2 linked regions of the Xenopus tropicalis genome follow. The protein of the gene in region 1 interacts with the protein of each later gene in a pairwise test. Links are inferred from orthologs where the notes say so. Each region holds a gene or a part of one and is shown in the gene's direction. Other genes may lie near its edges.

The links.
Region 2: the proteins of nipbl (region 1) and mau2 interact in binary tests that used the Homo sapiens proteins (3 or more experiments, as listed by UniProt). The link is inferred for Xenopus tropicalis from reciprocal best matches to the Homo sapiens genes NIPBL and MAU2.

The regions. Positions count from the first base shown.
Region 1 is NC_030677.2:197,898,479-197,906,954, reverse strand, and holds part of nipbl (nipped-B-like protein), read left to right. Parts: coding exon 1-24; intron 25-1,058; coding exon 1,059-1,207; intron 1,208-1,649; coding exon 1,650-1,810; intron 1,811-2,382; coding exon 2,383-2,476; intron 2,477-3,625; coding exon 3,626-4,243; intron 4,244-6,759; coding exon 6,760-8,476. UniProt on the Homo sapiens protein: Plays an important role in the loading of the cohesin complex on to DNA. Forms a heterodimeric complex (also known as cohesin loading complex) with MAU2/SCC4 which mediates the loading of the cohesin complex onto chromatin.
Region 2 is NC_030677.2:113,778,863-113,787,338, reverse strand, and holds part of mau2 (MAU2 chromatid cohesion factor homolog), read left to right. Parts: intron 1-27; coding exon 28-183; intron 184-1,297; coding exon 1,298-1,444; intron 1,445-1,902; coding exon 1,903-2,005; intron 2,006-2,956; coding exon 2,957-3,060; intron 3,061-3,142; coding exon 3,143-3,220; intron 3,221-4,341; coding exon 4,342-4,407; intron 4,408-4,710; coding exon 4,711-4,794; intron 4,795-6,367; coding exon 6,368-6,417; intron 6,418-7,112; coding exon 7,113-7,190; intron 7,191-7,308; coding exon 7,309-7,420; intron 7,421-8,251; coding exon 8,252-8,342; intron 8,343-8,476. UniProt on the Homo sapiens protein: Plays an important role in the loading of the cohesin complex on to DNA. Forms a heterodimeric complex (also known as cohesin loading complex) with NIPBL/SCC2 which mediates the loading of the cohesin complex onto chromatin.

The DNA.
Region 1 (8,476 bases):
CACTATCTCTCATAGTCCTTCCAGGTAAGTTTATAATCTTCTATAAATTTATTTTTTTTTTCATTTGAATTTAATCTAATTTTTTTACATAACCATAAACAGAAATGCTGTCCTGCTGAGTCATTTTTACTTTCTATCTGTCCTATGGGTTACAGAGATTGTTGTACTTTAAACAATCAGGGGTATATTTATCATGCTGTGAAATAAGTGGAGTAACACATTAACGGCGATGTTGCTCATAGCAGCCAATCAGATGCTTTGCTACTATTGAAATATAATTTCTGATTGGTTGCCCTGGGCTACATTACCGTTAATGCTTCACTCCACTTTTTACACAGCATGTTAAATATACCCCTACGTGTGAGTGTTTATTTAGAATTAAAAACAATGCTAAAAAAAATAGCTTAGAGGGTGGTGTTAGGGCAGTGTATACACACCTCATTCCTATTGACTAGAACAATGTAAAAGTGGTGCCTGTCAAATGCCAAATGTTGGGCATCCACCAATAATTAAGATCCCCTACCTAATACCCTGGGCACATCTTCTTTGGGAACATGCAGGCCAGCGATGGCAGTGGATCGCTCACCGGCATGTACACCAGGCTGGTGTGTTTTTTTTTGCTAACGGGGACACCAGCCCAGGGTATAAGGTAAGTGAATACAATTTATGGGGGTGCCTGACATTTTGGCATCCCCCCAATGATTTGACCTTTCCTTCTCCTTTAATGGGTTGGAGATGTATTGTGGTCCTATTCAGGTGAAAGAACACTAAAATCCTTAGTGGCTGAAGGCACCTTTCTTGCATTAACCTGTTGCTGAGAAATGCAAAACTCTCACTTCAATAGGGCACCTATTTCTATTATTTTGATTCCTCTTCTACATCCACTTGTAAGTGTATGTAAATCTTGTATTATAATTTTAGTTAAAAAAAACTTTATACTATATATTTGTATAGTGCAGATGGCACTATAAGTTTGCTGACCCATTCAAATAGGTATTTTTGGTTTGTAAGAATGGTCAAAAATAGTATTCTGACTCTTCCCTTTGTGTCTCCTATAGTCGTTTTGTGCCACCCCAGTCCAGTTCCACAAGCCGGTTTATTGGCCAACAGAGCAGCCCTGTACCGAGTCCATATGCTCCCCAAAGTCCAGCAGGATACATGCCATATTCCCACCCTGGAAGTTACCAACATCAACCATTGCAACAAGGTAAAGAAGATTTTTATGTAAAAGAAGTGTTGGACCATCTTGGGTTAAAGACTTATGTGGGTAACACAACTTTTTCTTGCTCAGCATGTTGCTGCTGCTCTTGGCCTTCTTCAAAATACTTTCAGCCTGTTTTTGGGAAACTTTTTTTTTTTTTTTTTTACTATAACTGTACACAGACATGGCATATCTGTCTTTCATATGCAAGAGTGTCATTAGTCATACAATTTTATTATATTTTCAATATGCTGCGACAGAGGAGAGTAGTTACTAGATTTGTTCAGAATTTATTACATTTCGAAGACCCTATTGGGGTAAATGAAAACTTGTTGGCAGCTCTGATATGCCTCCTCTTGCATTGCTTTGTTGGTGCCCAAAGATTTTTGCAAATTTTGTCTTCTTTACAAAAGCAAGTCTAATTGTTTTTTCTTTTCTGCCTTTATAGCTTCTGTTTCAAGCCCTATAGTTGCTGGGGGGCTTAGGAATCTACATGAAAATAAAGTTTCTGGGCAGCTGTCAGGCAGCTCTGCAAACCATCATGCAGATAATTCCAGGCATGGCGCTACTGAGGACTATCTCCAGATGGTGCACAGGCTGGGTGGTGAGGTATGTTTGTATGTGTATACTAATGGTGTATACCTGGCATTTGACTTCGTTCGGCTACGTATATGTCAAAAACCCTGTCATGAATGTTTTCAAGGATGTTTTGTTTCTTGGAATTAAGATGTTCCCAAGTTGTGGAGTTCTGCTTCATAATGTTTAGAATTTAAACATTAAATGGATACATATTTCTAGCACTTAACTTTTTTTGTCCTCTCTCCTGTGGTAGCACTTAATGTAAGAGAATTATAATGATATATGCCACCTATTTAAGATAATCCTGAAGGAAAGTAAAAATTGCCAAGAAAAGTGCTTAGAAAAATACTCTAAGCCATACCCCACTTTTAAAAATAGGGAATATATTCACACTGTTAAAACTGTTAATCTTTACACTATTTCACACACAAACCCAATTCAGTCACAAACACTTTGTTCGTTTTTTCTTGTTCCGCTCAGGAAGTTTTAAAAATTCTTGAACACAAGCAACAAAATCACTTACTCCTCCATTACTTATGAACCGAATAGCTATTTTGCAATGAACAGTTATTTTACAGTGTGTTTCTTTTTAAATTTTTTAGGACAGTGATTCTTCAATAAGAAATGCTGCTTCCTTTTCTCTCCGCTCTCCGCAGTCTGTGTGCTCTCCTGCTGGAAGTGAAGGGACGCCAAAAGGTAAAGTTGAGATTTGTCTTAGCTGTCAATAAAAGGCACCTATCACTACAGCGCTAGGCTACCCACACCCAGAGTGAGCTCCTGGGACAGGAAGCCATGCTGTGGCACAGATGTGCATAACTCGCTTGTTATGCACGTTTGTTTGAAGGTATAAATCCAATAAATAATTTCAATCTAATATTTGGACATTTTAAAGGGGTTGCTTACCTTCCAAACACACTTTCACCAGAAATAATGTTTTTTTTTTTGCAACTAATTTTAGTTAAGCAGTAGAAAACAAAGTTAAAACTTGTTTCTCCCTCTTGTGTCCGTTGCATAATCCGGGTGCAGACTGAACTGTCACACTCTATTAGATCAGTTGATACATTTCTCAGCAGCAGCTGCAGAGCATTAGCAACTGTTGTATCTTTTATAACAACTTAAATTTATGAAACTTTAGTATTCTTTTCAGCTGGGCCACAGATGATAAATGTATCAATTAATGTGTCGGATTAGAACAGTTTACAGAGGGGGGGCTAAAGTATTGTTTGTTTTTTATTTTGTTATTTTTAATTAAAAATGGAAAGCAACTGAAGAAAAGTGTGTGTTTGATGTACTATCTGAAAACAACTGAACAGCAGCAGCATCTGTATTTATGGGAATCAAGTAGTCATAGTTTCTGAAACATTAAAAAGCTCATATCTCATTTGCATTAAAACAATGTTATTCTCAGTTTTGCTGCTGTTCAAATGATTTTTACTTTTTAGATGATTTTGCTTGCAAGCTTCTTTACACTCAGTTAATGGAGAAACTCTGTTAAATTACTCCAAACGGTGACATTCAAAATATTCAAAAGTCACCAAGGCTGCCCAGGTAGTTCTCTAGTAAATCCGTGGCATCCATGCTGTTGATCCACTCATCAGAATCATTGACTTAACTGCAGAGAATGAACAGATATTGAGCACTCTGCAGTATTAGAGAATAATGGCTGAAACCACAGTATAACATATAAAAAGATAGCATTTTAGAGAAGCCTTTATGTGAAGGGTATGATGCTGGTTAGGTCCATTGACAGGTAGGTTAGGTTTGTTATGACTGATACACATCTAGAGCTATACACATTAACCTTGAAAAACATTCTTAATTTTATTCCTCTTTTTTTTCATGCAGGATCAAGGCCATTAATACTACAGACACAGCCTCCTCCATATTCCTCTCCCAGGGATGCTCCTCCTGACATTCTCTTGGACTCCCCAGATCGAAAGCAGAGGCGACCAAAAAAGTTAAAGATAAGCAAAGATGAGAAGGAACAGACTGAGAAGTCTGCAATGTATGATATTATTAGTTCTCCTTCTAAAGACTCTACCAAGCTCACTTTAAGACTAACACGTGTGAGATCTTCTGAAATGGACCAGCAAGGAGATATGCTCTCCACTATGGAAAACAGTAACATGTCAGAGGGAGATAGCACTTTTAATGTGCAGTTCCCAGGGAATGCTTCAAAAACACCGGTCACTCCACAGGACTTAAGTCGCCCTTTGAATGCTGCTGCTTGTTTTCAGGAGCAAACTGAATTCTTACAGGTGCAGCAAGTGCCTGTTTTACAACCCAACATGTCAGCAGCTGCAAAACCGCCTCAACCTCTTGTGGCTCAATCACAGCCCCAACAAACAGGAAGCATAACGCCATATGACGAAGTGGAACTGGACGCTCTTGCTGAAATTGAGAGAATAGAGCGGGAATCTGCTATTGAGAGGGAACGCTTTTCTAAAGAAGTTCAGGACAAAGGTAATATTCCACCTGTTAAGTACAGTCAAAGCCAACTAATACTTCTGGTAGAGGTTGTTTTCAAGCCAAAAACATTCATTGTACAAATTCTGTGAGCCAAAAACCACTTGCATCTGCAGTGACAGGTGGTTTTAATTTGCTCAATGGGGATAGTGCTTGGGTATTCAACTAGGGCTAATATTCATAAGCATTTTTCGTGGATGGTATTGGATTGACAAAGAATTTGCGACAAATTGCATATAGCCACCTTCTTCAAATATAATGAGATTGATAAAATTGGATGCATAAACTACATGTTTATTTTTTCCATCCAACTCAACTGTCCGATGCGAATGCGGCATGCTGTGTCTGCATCCGCGGCAATCGCTATATTGTTGCATCTAGTCTGAGCGGCTTTTTTTGGAGCGCTTTTGGAGTTTAGCCCTTAGCTTTAGGTTTCCTGCAGATAAGAGCTTTGTCTTTTAAATAGTTGTTGTTTCCCTTGTCTCAAATTTTGTGGGCTAAACTGCCATGTAGCTTGGTTTGTCCAAATTTGCCAGCTGAGATTTTGTTATGGTTCATAACAATTTACTGTTTTTGTTGGGGGGGTGGGGTTCTGTATATGCAGTTCAGTTTTTAAGGGTTAAGGGCTCTGGTACACGGGGAGATTAGTCGCCCGCGGCAAAACTCCCTGCTCGCGGGCGACTAATCTCCCCGAGTTGCCTTCCCCCTGCCATCCCACCGGCGAACATGTAAGTCGCCGGCGGGATGGCAGACGCGGCGGGGCGATTTCGGGAAATCGCCGAAAAAGCCTCGCAAGTCTTTTTCGGCGATTTGCGCGAAATCGCGCCGCCGCGTCTGCCATCCCGCCGGCGACTTACATGTTCGCCGGTGGGATGGCAGGGGGAAGGCAACTCGGGGAGATTAGTCGCCCGCGAGCAGGGAGTTTTGCCGCGGGCGACTAATCTCCCCGTGTACCAGAGCCCTTAGAGACGCAGAGCTACTAGTAGCAGCTACTTGTCGTGGCTACTAAAATTGACAATGCTGATCGTTTACTGATAATTGCCTCTGGGTGTTTTAGCAGAGGCAATTCTCAGTGTTGTCTATGGCAGGGGATTTTCTGGAACTTTGTATCCGTGAAAAAAGTAGCCACTACTACCTAGCTCCGTGTGTCTTCACCCTTATAGTTGTCACTGACTTTAAAAAAAAAAAATACACTTTTGATTTTTGTGCTAGGTTGGAACTAGAGAGTAGAGCTTGCGTGGATTAATTCTTCAGATTAATCCTAAATTCGTGCTGTCTCAGAGTTTTAATTAGCCTTTCGGTGCTTATTATGTGTTTTTGTGCTACATTTTTTTTATATAGTTTGTTGTATTAAATGGGTAGCTCACATTCAAACTTCTAGTATTATGTAGGCAAAGTTTTCATGCTATTGACCAGTTCTGACATTGTACATGTTATCCAGAATGCTCGGGACCTGGGGTTTACCGGATAAGGCGCCTTCCCGTAATTTGGATCTCCATACCGAAAGTCTACGGAAAAATAATTAAAACATTAAATAAACCCAATAGGTTTGATTTACATTTAATAAGGATTAATTATATCTTAGTTGGGATCAAGTACAGGTACTGTTTTATTATTACAGAGAAAAGGGAATCATTTAACCATTAAATAAACCCAATAGGAGTGTTCTGACCCCAATAAGGGGTAATAATATCTTAGTTGGGATCAAGTACAGGTACTGTTTTATTATTAGAGAAAAGGAAACCATTCGGTAATTCGCAACTTTCTGGATAACGGGTTTCCGGATTTGTATTTGTATTAAAACAATGTTATTCTCAGTTTTGCTGCTGTTCAAATGATTTTTACTTTTTAGATGATTTTGCTTGCAAGCTTCTTTACACTCAGTCAATGGAGAAACTCTGTTAAATTACTCCAAACGGTGACATTCAAAATATTCAAAAGTCACCAAGGCTGCCCAGGTAGTTCTCTAGTAAATCCGTGGCATCCATGCCACTACACTTGTAACAGTTCACATTAGGACATGTTAAATTCTAGCTCTTGGGAGTACATTTTTTGATTCCTGAATGATTCTACAGTTGGTGTAATTAATACACTGAAACTGAAAAGAACTAGAGCTCTTGTAATGTGTCTTATGGCTGATTTGCCTTAGTCCTTTTTAAATCCTTACAGCCTCAAGCGGCTTTCACTTTCACATTTATTTATATGTTTGAGTTTCTGTTGTATAATGTTTTCTCTAAAATTGTCACTTTCTTTAACAATGTTTTCTTTTTTTTCTGCTGTTGCTTTAAAAATACACATTGCAAATATGCTAGTATATACTGAAAAATGCCCATGTCTGTTTTAAATAAATTATTTGTATGGGAGAATAAACAGTATTTTCTTAAGCCAGTTTTGCACAAGGTTCATAGGTGGGGCAAACTCTTTGCTAGCGTTTGTTACTATTTAATTCAGAACTGTATAGTTAAAAGTTACTATGAATTTTAATATTAAGCTATTTGTGTTTTACTGTCTAGATAAGCCCCTGAAGAAACGGAAGCAGGATTCTTATCCATTAGAAGCTGGAGGTGCTACTGGAGGTAACAGACCAGCTTCCCAGGAGACCGGTTCAGCTGGAAATGGGTCACGGCCAGCACTTATGGTTAGTATTGATCTTCAGCAGGCCGGCCGAGGGGACTCTCAGGCAACTGTAACTCAGGACTCGGACTTTGCCAGAAAGGCAGATGACACAAAGAACTGCAACGATGGCTATATTTCTGGGCCTCAAGAGGACACTGTTTTCAAGCATAATCCTGAGAATCATCCGACGCCATTAAGAAAGAGTGAGTCAGACGTGGAATGTCCCGATAAGTCTAACAAGAGCACAACTGCTAAGCTGTCAACTGAGAGTGGCCTAGAAGAATCTTACAATGAAACTAAATTGTGTGACATCAAATCTGAACCTGTTGAGTGCAGCGAAGAAGCAAAGCTTTCTGGTGACTGTCCTATGGAGACCAAGTCTGAAAGTTGTGAAATAGATTATGACGACAATATGATGGAGTACAAAAACAGCGAAGGTTTTAATGAAGATATAAAGACTGAAGCACTGTTAAATGAGACTGCAAATGATGTAAAATCTGGTGACCTACAAGAGGATTCTAAAGAAAATGAAAACCAGAGTAAATCTAGTAAAGTTGACAACAAGCTGGAAATGCGACAAAAACTTAATACTCCCAAGCAAAAGCAAAATGATGGCCAGCCAGAGACACCTAGACAAAAACTTGAAGGGAAGAGTGAGACAGTAAAGCAAAAAGTGGAGGTGAAATCAGAAACCTCCAAACAGAAAGCAGAGGGAAAATCAGAGACAATCAGGCAAAAGAGTGAGGGGAAAACGGACACACCTAAGCAAAAGACTGAAGGGCATCCGGAAACACCCAAGCAAAAGAGTGAAAATAAGCCTGAAACACCTAAACAAAAGAATGAGGGTAAGCCAGAAACACCTAAGCAAAAGAGTGATAGCAGACCAGAAACGCCAAAGCAAAAGAGTGAAAGCAGGCCAGACACTCCAAAACAAAAGAGTGATAGCAGGCCGGACACCCCTAAACAAAAGAGTGAAGGGCGGCAAGATACATCAAGGCAGAAATGTGAAGGTCGGCAAGAAATTAGCCGACAAAAAAGTGAGGAGCACAAAAGTGATGGGCGTCCTGAAGCCCCAAAACATAAACATGATATGAAAAAAGATCCCAACAGACTTTCCACAGAAAAGAAGCCAGATTTATCCAAACATAAAACAGATTCAAAATGTGACTCTCCTAGAGTTAAGCCTGAGAGCCGTACAGATGGAGCAAAACAGAGAGTAGATGGGAGACCTAGTCATGAATCGTCAAAGCGGGACCGTGAGAACCCAAAACAGAAACCGGATGACAAGGGGGAGTCTGAGAAACACAAAGGAGAAATGTCAAGGCTTAGGAGGCCAGAGTCCTTAAGGTCGTTTAATAAGAATGAACAGGAAACAAGACCTGGAAATAAATCGGATGCACCAAAAATCGATAAAGTGGAAAAGAAGCATCGGCATGATTCGGATGAGTCTAGGGAGAAGCATTCTTCTGGGGAGCAAAAGCAAAGACCTAGTAGTCCCAGGATAAAGCAAGACAGTAAATCAGACCCTAGCAAATCGGATCCTACAAAATTGAAATCTGATAAACCTGTTTTGAAATCGCCTACTGGTAAAGATGAAAAAAGGATTGATGGTAA
Region 2 (8,476 bases), about 84 Mb from region 1:
GCATTTACTAGTCTTCCACTGTTTCAGCTCTTGTTGATGGAGAGAAAGCTGCAAGAAGTGCATCCGCTTCTTACACTGTGTGGACAGATTGTGGAGAACTGGCAGGGTAACCCCATACAAAAAGAATCCTTGAGAGTTTTCTTCCTTGTTTTGCAAGTCACACATTATTTGGATGCAGGGCAGGTATGTTATTCAGAAGGTGAAATATGCTCTACTAACAAATAAGTATGAATTGCTTGTATATATTATGATGTAAAATTGAAACACTAAACATCACATCAGTTAATAGAAATGACCTGCTGAGACATATCAGTGAAAATATTGGATAATTTCTCTGAGCTGCTTAGGTGCCTTTCTATGATGCATGGGCACTTTGGCTAAAACTGATATAGTAAATAGTCACATAGCAATTCAGCTCTGACATTTACTGGCACCTTTACAGTAATTCATGTTTTCGTATCAACAGTTAAAGGACATGTCAACACCAAAAATAATTTTGTGCCTAATAAAAGAAAACATAATTATAAAGATCTTTTCAATATGAATTTATTAAATATTTGTAGTGCTTTAAAGGTTATTTGTAAATGTAATTGCTATTAAAGCAGCTTTTGCTGAACTGGTTGTTTCCTTTTAAACAATGTTGCAAAAGCCAGCCTTCTCCCGCAAGACAGGTCATTCAATCTGCTGGCTTGGGTTACATTGTTTCCAGTGCCAGAGCCACCAGGGCAGAGAATAGAAAGGACAGGCAGACACTGCTTTTAATTGCAGTTATTTATACAAATAATTCAAAAACCATTACAAATATGTAATGAATATATATTGCAAAGTTGGTTAGAATGTTTTCTTTTATTAGGCAAAAATTATTTTTGAGGGTTGACCTCAAATGTCCTTTAATGTAAACATACAATGATTTTTTTTAAATGGTTATGTATTACAGTAAAATAAAACAAGGTGAATATATAATACATATTCTGTTATGTATTCTGTTACATATTCTTGTCTCTTAAACATTCCTAGAAAATAGTTACCTTATTTCAGAGAACAAAATTGTACTTTAGACAGAGAGCAAACAGGGAATTCTTACAAGTATAAGTTTGTGTGATGTAGGTGGAAAATAGCTGATGAATGTCAAGTACATATGCCGTCAAGCAAAAATGTTTTTTTAGATCCTAGTTTTAAGAAGCAGCCCAAAAGAGTTATCTTTCATTTAATTTTTATATATGCAGAATGTCCTTTCTCTTTATATTGCTTCCCCAGTGAATATAAAGTGTTTATGATTTGGAACTTTGTCTTGCAGGTTAAAAGTGTAAAACCATGCCTTAAACAGTTGCAACAATGCATTCAAACTATTTCAACTCTGCACGATGATGAGATTTTACCCAGTAATCCAGCTGACTTGTTCCACTGGCTTCCCAAAGAGCACATGTGTGTTCTGGTTTATTTGGTAAGAATGGTCTAATTTTGTACCACCTGAAATGGAGCATCTCTTATTCAGGTATAATGTAATATTTACAGATTGTTTTGTTCATGGGTTTTTATGATTGAGGAAAACCTGGTAGCGGGTAACTAATAATTATTTCTGTTTAACTAAAATGATACAACTGCCTCCTAATGTAATATCTGTAAGCAGATGACTGTATAAATGCAGGAACCGGTATAATTCAACCATTGTTGTAAAATCTACCCTGCTGTATGCTCCCTATGAAAACTGTTCTTATTGTGGTTTTATTTTTCCCTTCTTGCATTTTTGTGCTTTATTATGTTTTGGATTTTTTTGGGGTTAATGAAACCTGTTAATACACATTTTAAATGCAACTTTATTGGTTCTTAATCATAGTGGTGGTGTTTTAGCAAATATTAATCATATAACTGTTGATGTATAAACTTGTATCTCTCTTGTATTCCCACCTACAGGTAACAGTCATGCATTCTATGCAGGCTGGATATTTAGAAAAGGCTCAGAAATATACAGACAAGGCTCTTATGCAGCTGGAGAAACTCAAAAGTAAGTTTTTTTACTTAACCTTTACCTTTCTGTGTTCTGTTAATGCATTCTGTCTTTAAAGGGAAAATATACCTCCTATTTTGGCATGAGCTTTTTCTGGTGGCTTTATGTAGAACCGGTACATATATGAACTTCCAGATACAAATATTAATGTGTATTATTTTTACATAGACCTTATTACACTCTCAGCATAACATATCCTGGGAAACAACTAATTGGAGTTATGGTGGTGTCTTTCAATTTGTGAAATCAAGTATGCTTTTGTAAAACAAGAATGCATTTATGTTTATATCTGAAAGTTCAGATGTGTGTTTTTTTTTCTAAATAGGCTCAACTAAATTGGTTTAGTTGGGGGGGTATATTTCCTCTTTTAAAGAATAAGTACCGGTAATCCTTTTTTTTTTTCATATCAGTAAAATTACTCTAAACAGCCTCCAGAATGTCCCAGCATTCTGTCTGACCTGGTTCCTCAGCTCGAAGTTAATCCTTTCCTTTGCTTCCTTGTGCAGAGTGAAGCCCCGTCCCTACTTCCTGTTCAGGTGTCGCATCAAAAAAAACAAAAACAAAAAAAAACCTGCTAATGCACAGACTGGCTCCTGCTGCCTCCAGGCATGCCCAGAAGGCTCTCCAGGTTGACTAGAGTAGTCGAATTGAAGAGAGAACTGAACAGGAAGTGGGGGCAGGCCTTCACTCTGCACAAGGAAGCAAAGGAAAGGATTAACTTCTAACTGAGGAACCAGGTCAGACTTTCATTCTTAAAATTAACAGTATTTAAGATGGACCTATTCTAAGCAGCTTTTTCTGTTGGTTTTAATGTTTAATTAGATGGGGTTTTTTGTTTTTTTTTAACTCCCATGCATTGGGGAATTTTGTAGTGAATTTTCAGCTATGTTGACACAATGCCCTGTGTACCATTGGAATACTAAATTAACCAATATTTTTTCTTCTCAGTGCTGGATAGCAGTCCTATCCTATCTTCTTTCCAAGTCATCCTTTTGGAACATATAATCATGTGTCGTCTTGTGACAGGACACAAAGCCACAGCTTTACAAGAGGTAGAGATGTTAAACTGGTAATAGAGAATTTTGCAGATGCCTGTGAAATCTTTTTCATTTTACATCTGTCTTTATTTCTCAGATATCCCAGGTATGCCAGCTCTGCCAGCAGTCTCCACGTCTGTTCTCTAACCATGCAGCTCAACTCCACACATTACTGGTAAGTAATAAATAGTTATGGAGCCACATCACTGGTTCTACTTTTTTTTTTCCAATGGAGAGTGCTTATGGTGTTTTAAATATTTAAAGTATGGTGCCTTCCCCATTCGATCTTGCACACCATAAGTGGCAGGCAATTATACTGACTATTTTGAAGAATATCTGGGAGGAAGCCACAGATTTGTGTAAAACTTCCTTATTATAACACAAGATAGATTAATCAACTTTAAAATTCTCTCTACTATTACTCAGCTGATAAATAACACAGGGTTTTTCCAAGTAAATCCTCTGCTTGTCCCCTCTGTTATCACCTCACTGCTGATTTTCTGTGGTTTGTGGGTATGCCCATTAATCGAGAAGTTCTGGTGAACAGTGGTTTAATGTCTTAGTGACAACCTAGCATTACCTCAAGTCATCTCTCCTTAAGTGTGCTAATTAGGGGGCCAATTCATTAAAACACGAGTTCGAAAAATTCGGATTGGATACGATAATTTCTGAAGATCGCAAATATCACGAAAATGCTTACGGAAAAAGCTTATTAGTCATGATAATATCGAATTGGCGATCCGAAAGTCACAAAATTTTCGTACCGAACAATTGTAAACAGTGACAGAACCTTCTAATCCTAATTTTTCATGCAAGCGTACGAAAAAGTTGCGCGGGTGTACGAAAAGTCGAGCAAGCGCGAAAAAAACGCTGAAAATACGCTCGGAGCGTTCGTGTCTTAATAAATCTCCCCCTTGGTGTGTAATAAGCGATCTAGTTTTTTATAAACATACCAGAATACTTTATCAAACTCTTATTTTATGCTAAAAAAGTGATTTGTAGCTCACTGGCTACAACCTAAGGCCCCTGCCTTCTTTACTGGCTAAACTTTAGTCAGTCTTATGCTTCCATTAATTACACTAACATATGAGGCATGTGGAGAGCTGGCTTGAGACTACCTAGCATTAAACCCCATCGAACCTGTGTACTTGAGCTGTATCAATAAGTGGCGATTTATCTACCTTAATATGTGTGCTAAACACTAATATACTGTAACATATGACAATATTTGTTTTGCCAGCTTTTAAATTAAAATGCTCCCACACTTTATTTTTTCTAATTGTATTTATGTCCTAGGGCTTATACTGTATCTCTGTAAATTGCATGGATAATGCAGAAGCACAGTTCACAACAGCACTAAGGGTAAGTATGTTTGCCCTAGGTTTTTACATTGTAATGATCCAAACTGACAGCCTCCTATAAAATCAAGACAAGCCCTTATAAGGATATTCCTGACAACCCTACAAAGCATGCAATGCAGTTCATATATTGCTATCAAACTTGTTTTCTTCTGTATTGCCATTAGCCTTTTCTTATATAGGGAGATATTCATGTGAAAAAATACTTAATTCTGCCTAATCTTAAAACCTTTACTACTGTTGTACTTGTACGCAGAATTTTTGTGCGGTTAACTTTATAAATTATTTTTGACATTGATCTCCCCAGCTCACAACGCACCAGGAGTTGTGGACGTTTATAGTGACAAATTTAGCAAGTGTTTACATCAGAGAGGGAAACAGGCACCAGGAGGTAAGCTGACTGATATATTTTTCTTAATTTTTAACACGCCAAGAAAAATCACTAACCAAAAGACACAATAGAGTCCATTCAAATCTGCCATTCTCTTGCATCCCCAGTTCATTTCCTATGTGCATGTACCAGTATGTATGTTTCAGTCATTACGCGTTGCTTCGGTTTTCCAAAGTCACCTGAAGTTTCCTTGCAAGGCAACTTCGGGCAACCGAAGCAATGCGTATACCATCCCACCGGCGATTTACATTCTTGCGGGTGGGTTGGCATGTCGGGGAGATTAGTTGCCCGCAATAGTGAAGATTTATCACGGGTGAGTAATCTCCCCGTGTGCTACTGCCCTAAGTGCTTTTTATTGGCCACATCAAAACAAACTTCACGTAAATAGAAAAAAAGGACAAAAGCATAATTAAGATAATTAAGTGATAAACATTTTTTTTATTGGGCCAGTAAGCCACATTGGGCCTGATTCACTAAAGTTTATTGCACGCTTTTTTGTGGAAAAAAAGACGCGATTCACTACAGCATTACCGCATGCGATAAGTCGCATTTTCGCATGCGGTATTTCTCGCGCTAGTTTTACCGCATACGTTCATTTCCGTGCTGAAAAGAATACGATCGCATGATTCACTATAACTTTTGCGCGCTAAATATCGCATTCGGCTATGCGAAAATTAACACCTACTACAGGCAGGCGAAAAATTATACAAAAGTACAGTAAATGATTTTTTGCAATAAAATATGGACTTACAGTGTTATTTATTCAAGTATGTGTTTCCCCTAGAGTGCCCGCACAACATTTTTGCTGTTTCGTGGATCTTTCGAAAGATTTGCTAATTTTCACTAAAGATAACCAGAACACATTTGCTCATCACTAGTGGCTACTATTTATAAGCATCTACTATTTATATGATACCATTTATATGCTACCATTTATATGTGGCTAATATTTATATACACCATTTATATGCGGCGACAATTTTTATACACTATTTCTAAGCTACCATTCATATGCGGTGACTATTCGCGGGCGTAATTTAGCACATGTACCAGCAAATACCGCATTGAAATAGTCTTCGCAAGTTAAATAACGCATGCAATATCGCGCGTAAAAAAGCGCGAGTATGCTTATAGTGAATCGTGCGAAAAATCGCCAAAATTAAGATGCGGTAAAAATTTTAACGCACGCTATAAATAGCGCACGTTAAATCGCACTTTAGTAAATCAGGCCCATTGTGCAGTGTTTCTGGGGGTTGATCTAGGTTATTTTCGTTTAGGAGAAAACTGCACCATCCAGAAGGAAAAAGTTGAGCTGCAGCTTCATCTTTCTTACATTTATTGCCACATAAAACCTTATTTTGGTATTAATTTGTGGTATTAATCCATGTACAGTATTTTATCAAATATTTATCAATGTGGGAAATTTTTCTATAAAGAAAACTTAAAATTGATGTAACAAATGGGTGTAGAGAGGGTGTTTTTTGTACTCATTTAGTAAGTTATAAATGCTAAACATAGTCAGTTACATGCCCAATAAAATAACACAATGTTCTCTTTTTTTCCCCCACCCAAGCTTTATAGTTTACTAGAAAGGATAAACCCAGACCATAATTTTCCAGTCAGGTAAGATGTTATTTTTATGGATATATATATATATATTTTATTTATTTATTTATATTAAACAGGCTGTTCACTGAGTGTGTGGGGTTTACATGTCCTTTAAAGGTGGTAAAGGAGAAAAAGCACAGGTTACCTAGCAGATAACAAATATGCTCTGTAGAATACAGAGGGCAGGATTCTACACAGGTTATCTGCTATGTAGCCTGTGCCATTTAGCCCTATTTTTACTTGAATGGCTGCCCTATTGGCTACACAGAAACTTCTTTATATAAACGATAATTGTATTAATTAAGCAAACACACAACTTTACAAGCACAGCACAACAGTACATTATATTTTAATTACTTATTAAACACTTGTTTTTTTGGTGTTGCTATGCCTTTGAAATGTTTTTTTTTTTTCTGGCAGTTCATTTGTTTCCTGATAGATGGAACAATAGTATATATGTTTGTGTACAAAACTAATTTTTTACAAACTATAGATCTCTCTAAATACCTTCTAACAAGGTAGTTTCCATAGACAACCAAGTAACCAGCTAAATTTGTAATAGGCATTTTAAGAATTCATCTTTTCTCCAAATGCATGAAGATGCGATGATATACATTAATGTAAGATATGTGCTACATATATTGATTTTCAGCTTAAATTACTAGATATTTATATAATATAGGTAGAATAATTTTCTCTTTCCATTCTAGTTCTCACTGCCTCCGTGCTGCGGCCTTCTACATCCGTGGGCTCTTTTCTTTTTTCCAAGGCAGATATAATGAAGCAAAGTAAGTGTTTTTTAATAAAAAAACAAAACATATATGTAATATATATATAGGTTTTTTTTTTTTTTTAACCTGTAGAAATAAGTGCTTATTTAAAGTGTCCCTTCTCTTTCTCTTGTAGGCGATTTCTGCGTGAAACCTTAAAAATGTCAAATGCTGAGGACCTAAACCGGCTGACTGCCTGCTCCTTGGTTCTTTTAGGCCACATCTTTTATGTACTCGGGAACCACAGAGTAGGTGTTACCTTTGCTGAATTAATTTTTTTCATTCATCACTAGGAAGACTATGCCTTTCTTTTCTGTGTTGGCTATACAGTAAACAGGGGAAAATAGCAACATCAGATAATTTAAAATGGAAACCATGAGAAGAGTACACTAATTTCTAGAACTAGTTTTTTGATTATTTAAATGGGAGAAGGGCATATTGGCCTTATAAACTAGCAGGCTGTGTGGGAGTATGGGAACACTTCTTTGAGATTTTGTATCAGGAAGAAATTTGCTACCTAAGGGGTATTTTAATTGATGGTTGTACTGTGACTGTATTGGCTTATTTGTAATGCTTTTGCTTGACTTGCAGCTTTTAAAGTTGTCTAATTTCTGATGTTTAGCAGTCAGTTTTTGATGATGAAATTTGAGTATTGGGAATGATGTTTTTTACTTGTTTAGCTTTTTAGTACTCCAGCTAGTAGACTCCCACATATGTATATGTGCCTCCTGCACTTGTGAGCCATAACTGATTCAAAGAAGTTTGTCAGCTGATAATGTAAATGCACATAAATACGAATATATAGATAAAAAGGAATCTGACAGTGCAGAATAATTTATACCAGTGTATTTCAATGAGCTTTTATTTAAAGAAAATATAGTTAATTTAAGACAGGGTTTAAATTTGCCCTTCTTATTTGCATGGTTTCTTGTACCCATGCAGAGAGAGGTTATAGTTTAGCTGAAGTAGAGAACTATTAACAGGGCAGCTTCACAGTTTTGATTAAATCCTAAGGGCCACAAGCTTTATTAATATGATAGTGGCAACTGTTGCATTAACATATCTATATCTTTTACCAGGAAAGTAACAATATGGTAGTCCCAGCCATGCAGTTGGCAAGCAAGATTCCAGACATGTCTGTACAACTCTGGTCTTCTGCTCTCTTGAGAGGTACGTTTTCTTAAGTTGTACTCTTAATTTGTTTGCTATAACCCAGTAATCCCCCAACCAGTGGCTCTTGAGCAACATGTTGCTCACCACACTCTTTGATGTTGCTGCCAGTGGCCTCAACGTAGGTGCCCAGT